Neurospora crassa OR74A: one gene and its partner. The protein of the gene in region 1 purifies or fractionates together with the protein of each later gene. This does not show direct contact. Links are inferred from orthologs where the notes say so. Each region holds a gene or a part of one and is shown on either strand. Other genes may lie near its edges.

The links.
Region 2: the proteins of scon-2 (region 1) and NCU00018 purify together in Saccharomyces cerevisiae (affinity purification with western blotting, with the first as the bait; 3 studies listed by BioGRID). This does not show direct contact. The link is inferred for Neurospora crassa OR74A from reciprocal best matches to the Saccharomyces cerevisiae genes MET30 and CDC48.

Annotation. Positions count from the first base shown.
Region 1 is NC_026503.1:4,900,994-4,903,469, forward strand, and holds the end of scon-2 (sulfur controller-2 protein), read left to right. Parts: intron 1-45; coding exon 46-150; intron 151-208; coding exon 209-1,101; 3' UTR 1,102-1,886; downstream 1,887-2,476. UniProt on the Saccharomyces cerevisiae protein: Substrate-recognition component of the SCF(Met30) complex, an E3 ubiquitin ligase complex that mediates the ubiquitination and subsequent proteasomal degradation of target proteins. Negatively regulates sulfur amino acids biosynthesis genes expression.
Region 2 is NC_026503.1:2,304,807-2,309,020, reverse strand, and holds the start of NCU00018 (cell division control protein Cdc48), read right to left. Parts: upstream 2,917-4,214; 5' UTR 2,487-2,916; coding exon 2,431-2,486; intron 2,339-2,430; coding exon 2,311-2,338; intron 2,245-2,310; coding exon 2,189-2,244; intron 2,135-2,188; coding exon 1,885-2,134; intron 1,819-1,884; coding exon 327-1,818; intron 268-326; coding exon 1-267. UniProt on the Saccharomyces cerevisiae protein: ATP-dependent chaperone which probably uses the energy provided by ATP hydrolysis to generate mechanical force to unfold substrate proteins, disassemble protein complexes, and disaggregate protein aggregates.

The sequences.
Region 1 (2,476 bases):
TCTTTAAACATTGGTGCTCGCTTTAAACTAACACATTGCTGACAGGGAACATTGAGACTGAGGAGTGCATTCGGACCCTTGTCGGCCATACGGCTGGCATTCGTGCACTACAGTTTGACGATTCGAAGCTCATCAGTGGCAGTCTTGACCGTATGTTGCGCAACCCGCCTTCAATGATAGCGTGGCAATGTTGCTAACTGATTCGTAGACACCATCAAGGTCTGGAACTGGCATACCGGCGAGTGCCTCTCCACGTTCGCTGCCCACACCGACTCAGTGATTAGCGTTCACTTCGATGGCCACCTACTCGCCAGTGGGTCGAGCGACAAGACGGTCAAGATTTTCGACTTCAACTCCAAGGAGACATACTGCCTCAAGGGCCATAGCGATTGGGTCAACTCGACCCATGTTGACATCAAGAGCCGAACCGTGTTCTCCGCCTCGGATGACACGACCATCAAGCTGTGGGATCTGGACACGCGCCAGGTTATCCGGACCTACGAAGGACATGTCGGCCATGTGCAACAGGTCCTCATCCTCCCGCCCGAGTATGAGCCCGACGAGGAGGTGCTCAACGGTGCTTCGCAAGACAACCAAGACGCCATGTCAGTATCATCGGGCGGAAGCGGAAGCCCCTCCATGTCGCATGCACAAATCGAGCGCGCCGGCAGCCCTGGCAGCCATAGCTCCAGCCACAACCTGCTACCGAGCAGCCTGCCTAGTGGTGACGAGGACGTGCGCCATCTCTATGGATCCGCCTTTGTAGCCGACGAGTCACGGCCACTTCCCCCGCGCTATTTCATGACAGGCGGGCTCGACAGCACCATGCGTCTCTGGGACAGCGCGACCGGTCGGTGTTTGAGGACGCTGTTTGGCCACCTCGAGGGCGTTTGGTCTTTGGCGGGAGATACGATCCGTGTGATCAGTGGAGCCAACGACGGCATGGTCAAGACGTGGGAGCCGCGCAGCGGAAAGTGCGATGCGACGTATACGGGCCACTGCGGACCCGTGACTTGTGTCGGGCTGAGCGATAGTCTAATGGCCAGTGGCAGTGAGGATGGAACGATTCGGTTACATTCCTTCAAGCCCTGTCGGCAGTGAGGTGGTGGCTGGGGTTTCCGTCACTTGGGAACGATGAGAGCATGTCGGGTTTCAACTACCCATGTTGACTGCTCTTGCATCTTCCTCCAATTTTGGATATCCCGGATACGCCATCTTCACCTATCAGCGTCCTCGCATTTCTTTCCTCTTTTTTTTTTCTTCTTCTTCTTCTACTACTCCACCCTCTATGCGATCTCAGACGCAACTTTTCTTTTTGTGTTTTTTTTGCTTTCAACAAAACATTGCCTCTCCCCAAGAAGGGAACAAAGGAAGGCAGATTAGTTTTGGGTCAACTTGCAAGCATAGGTTACAGCGTCATGTGTTTTACAAGTTAGGCATCTGAGATGGGATCTCAAAAGCAGCCAGGCACTTATAGTGAGTGATACAGAAAAGGAAAAGGGGGGGCGTCATTTTGCATGGTTTTGGAAGGATATATCCTTGGGGGATGGTTGGTTGGTTGGATGGAGTTTTATGATTTGGCTTTTGTTTACTTTTTTTGTTCTAGTTCTATACCCTCTTGCTTCGTTTGGTGGTGTGATAGTATGATTTGAAATAATGAAAGATAAGATGGTAGTTTGGAATGGGACGAATATATGGAGTCGTTCATGTTGAAGTGCTTCGTTGGTGAACCGAATATATGTACATTCAGTGACGGCGATGCTTCGGATCTGTAATGAGATTGTCTTTTTGTGTATGTAGTTCATGGTCTCACCATCGGTTCTCGAGAATGACTGGATAGGTACCTAGCGAAAAGTTGGAATCATGTTCCGTTTCCACATGGTATCAACTTGCGCGAAAATCAATGTCTGTCCCACGTGTAACTAACTCTTCATCGTAAGGTTCATTTGGCGTACGTACAGGTATCATGATGTTAAATTTGCATGTCTGGTATTTGTTCCCCGCTTTCCTTCACCAAAATCCGTCCCGTTCACGATTAGATCCCAATCGAGTGTAGAGGTACGTAAGTAGTGAGTGAGTAACAATGATGAACGAAGCAAATGGAAGGAAAGATGGGACGCGCAACCCGTTTCTCCTTCGTACTAGTACTGTACCGACACTCCTCCCTTTTCCTTCATTACTACCGACGTCCGGAAGTGGTAGAGGTACCTTTTCGCGCAACTTGACATTTCGCATGGCTCCTTCCTCCTTCGTGAATATGAGCGGATGGATTCATTTCACTTGCCCGGACATTACGCAACGCAACGCAACGCACAGCAGAGGCAGGAACGAACGTCGAACGGGGCCCGGACGATTGTAGTGGAAGGTGTTTGTTATCAATGGATCTCGATTTTTAATGAGAGGAGGAGGAAACAGTGAGGGAATGAATGGCTGAAGATGGGAAGGCGCATTCATTTAAGTTGACTTTTTACTCGCA
Region 2 (4,214 bases), about 2.6 Mb from region 1:
TGACAGCACGCTGGGTGATGAAGCCAAGATCGGCACCAGAGAAGCCGTGGGTCTTGGAAGCGATGTAGTTCAGGTCAACATCGGCAGCGACAGGGGTCTTGCGGAGCTGAGCCTTGAGAATACCGAGACGACCCGCCTCATCAGGAAGGGGAACGTAGATGAGGGAGTCGAGACGGCCGGGACGGCAGAGCGCTGGGTCGAGCTGCTCGGGACGGTTGGTAGCACCAATAACGAAAACATTCTTCTTGGAGGTCATGCCGTCCATTTCTATAGCTCAGGTTAGTATGCACAGCAGAATGGCACAAACCAAGGAAGAATCAACTTACCGGTAAGAAGCTGGTTAACAACACGGTCAGAAGCGCCACCAGCATCACCAACAGAGCCACCACGGGCCTTGGCGATAGAATCCAACTCGTCGAGGAAGACGACGCAAGGAGCAGCAGCGCGAGCCTTGTCGAAGATATCACGGATGTTGCTCTCAGACTCACCGAACCACATGGAAAGCAGTTCGGGACCCTTGACGGAAATGAAGTTGGCTGCGCACTCGTTGGCAACAGCCTTGGCCAACATTGTCTTACCGGTACCAGGAGGACCGTAGAAAAGAACACCGCGAGATGGCGAAAGGCCAAACTTGAGGAACTTTTCGGGATGGTCGACGGGGTACTGGACACTCTCCCTGAGCTCCTGCTTGACAGTCTCGAGACCACCGATATCCTCCCAGCGGACGTTGGGAACCTCGACAACGGCAACCTCGCGAAGAGCCGAGGGGTTGGAGACACCGAGAGCAAAGCGGAAGTTCTCTTGGGTAACACCAAGAGAGTCAAGGACCTCGGCGTCGATAGTGTCTTCGTCCAGATCGATGAGATCCATCTTCTCACGAATCTGCTGCATGGCAGCCTCGGAGCAGAGGGCAGCAATATCAGAACCAACGTAACCGTGGGTCTCAGCAGCAATCTGCTCGAGATCGACGTCATCGGCAAGCTTCATGTTCTTGGTGTGGATCTGGAGAATCTCAAGACGACCGGTAGGGTCGGGGATGCCGATATCGACCTCGCGATCGAAACGGCCGAAACGACGGAGAGCGGGATCGATCGAGTTGGGACGGTTGGTGGCAGCCATAACAACAACGTTGGAACGGGCCTTCATACCATCCATGAGAGTAAGGAGCTGGGAGACGACGCGGCGCTCAACCTCGCCGTTGGTCTTCTCACGCTTGGGGGCGATCGAGTCGATCTCATCAATGAAGATGATAGCGGGCGAGTTCTTCTCAGCCTCCTCGAAAGCCTTGCGCAAATTCGACTCGGATTCACCGGCCATCTTGGACATGATCTCGGGGCCGTTGATCAAGAAGAAAAAGGCACCAGTCTCGTTGGCAACAGCGCGAGCCATCAAAGTCTTACCGGTACCAGGAGGGCCATAAAGCAGGACACCACGGGGCGGCTTGATACCAATGGACTTGAAAAGCTGAGGATGCCTGAGGGGCAGCTCAACCATTTCGCGGATCTGAGCCATCTGCTTACGGCAACCACCAATATCATCGTAACCAACCTCGTTGAGGTTGTTCTCCTCCTCGTCACGCTGGATGGGCTCGCCCTCGCAGTGGATGACGGTATCCTGAGCGACAATACCGTACTCTGGTGGGTCCACCTCGACGACCTTGAACTCGACTTGCCTCATACCACCGCGGACAATAAAGAGATCGCCTTGCCTGACAGGGCGGTAGGCCTCGCGGAAGTAGGGAGCAAGGAAGACGTCGAAGAGAGATCCGGTGATGCCCTCAACGGTATCGGCGATCGGGAGGACGGCAATACGCTTGGCCTACAAGGAGATGCTGTGTCAGCAAGGTGCCCATTCTATGACTAGGTGACCGGGTTATAGACTAACATATTTGATATCGGGACAAGGGTGAATGGTGATGATGTCGCCGTGCTTGACACGGAGGTTGTGGCGAACGACACGGTTGAGGCGTGCGCTGCCATCGTCAAGATCGTCATCGGCAAGAACAATCAAGACGGTGTCCTTTCTCTTCTTTCCGCGGACGAGAACGGTATCACCACGGAAGAGCTGGAGCTGCTCCATGGTGTTGTTGGAGAGGGCGATAATCGAGTTATCATCGTTGACGGCGTCAGTAACCCTGCATATGTGTTAGCTCAGGTTGCAGTGCCCCGCATCTTCAACGTCAACCTACATCAACTGGTTGGGCTTCTTCTTCTTCTTGAGAATAGCAGTGGCGGTATCATCTTCCTGTTCCATCGGTCAGCACGAGTGGTTCTCGAGATGTCTTTGGCGGGCAAGCGAGGTTGAACATACGGCCTTGTGCTCGGCACCAGAAGCGTCCCTGTTTGGCTTCAAGTCAGCTTGGCGTCATTCGCGATGAGGGGGCGCGACAGCTTCGAGAGCTCCCGCGATCAGCGTCGCTGCTTCACGTACATCAAGTTGACCTTCTTCTTCTGCTCGACGTGGTCGGGATTAGGTTCGGGAGCCATCTTGACGTTTGTGTTGGAATCAGTAGAATAAATGTGGTATTTGGGTATCGCGGACGGTGATGCTAATCCACGGAGAGGATGTAGCGGGAAGAAGTGGTTTTGGAGAAAAAGAAACCAGAATTCGTAGCCTCAAGACCCGCTGATAAAGGGATTCTTTGGAGGTTGGACGGCGAGGTGAAGGTGAATGGTGTTGGGATGGAAACAAAAAAAAGGACCAGTCGGAGGGACGAAGTGCCTTTGCGTTTTGGTGTTGGAGTTGGTTTCGTTTACGTTCAGGTTGTCACGGCCAGGCATGGAAAGGACGGTTCGAGCCAAAGCAAGCAAGCAAGCAAGCACCGCTGCGCCGGCGAGTGGCACCGACCGCTTGCTCCCTCCAAGGCCAGCCAACCAGGGGCAAGCAGCTGGTGGCCAGCAGCTGGGGAGCGGCAACAGCAACAGCGGGCATCTGATTCAACTGTCAGTGTCACTGACTGACAAACCGCCCCGCCAGGCGACCATTTGGATGACGAAGTATGAGCGGAGCCTTTTCTGGGGCGACAAAGGTCCGTGCTTTTCGCCCATAGGTACACTTCCATTCTGCCACTCTGTCTGCTTCCATGCCCTGGCTGTTCCGGGCTCCAGGCACGCCTTCTGCCATCGCTCCGAGGATCTTCAGGTCGCCCGACACACCTGGTAAAGCAACGGTGCGGCCGGAACCTTCGAATGCGTTCTACAAAGCTGCTGACAGATCAAAGCTTCATCTTGTTTGACTTGGGGTTCGTTCCATTTCTTCAGTTCGAGATTTACAGTGAATCGAGGTTCGGATGCTGCAGCACCGCTCGAGCACCGATGTCCAGATGGCCAGGCTGTCAGGTCTCTCCAAGGAAGCGAGACATGCTGCCCTGGGATTTCCTATTTGCCCCTCCCCCGCAGTACGGACAACAAGGCGGTCAGTGGTTGTCGCATGCACCACCGGATGGCCTGTACAGAGGCCACAGGCCAACGATGCTGCTAGGTAGGTATCACAGAAAACGAAATGGAACAGGACAACACGCGGAAAGTTGGCAGGCTGCAACTGTCGTCTTATCGAGATTCGAGAGAGTCCGTTTGTCCGGACGTCGCAGGAACCCGCATGCCACTTTGGGTGGAGCAAGCGAGTGACAAGAGCAAACGACGACCCTCGACCCGACCGAGAACCGGGTCCTCAGGGGTTGTAGGACACGTCCCCGCCCGTGCTTATACGAGGCGCGCGCCGGCCATACGGCTCCGCCCCGGCACGCCGATACCCAGTACGTCCCGGAGTCTCTCCCCGGACTGCTCGGCGCCCGGCTGGAAGAAGGCGGGGCTAGAAGCCAGGGAGCTCGGTACCCTTGTAACGTACTACATACATACACTACAGTAGTGTAGTACCATGGGTGTTAGCTACCCCGCTGTACATGGTGACCCCAAAGACGCTGCGGCGCGCCGCCCACCTGGCCATTCAGAGTCCAAAGGGACCTCAAGGTCCCATAGTCCAATGCCTCCACGATCCGGATCCGATATACCGTTACTACCTACTGTACAACACGCATTGAGCCAGAATGGGGCTGGAGCTCGGAGGGTGTGGCATTTCCTTTCAGGCAACAGACTAACAATCAAACCAGCCTCGACTTCAACGACGTTCACTCTCGTGGAGTCAGTGTGAGCAAGGCTTGGCAGTTTTCCGGGCACAGCTCGTTAGACATGAGGACTACCTATATTCAGTCAACT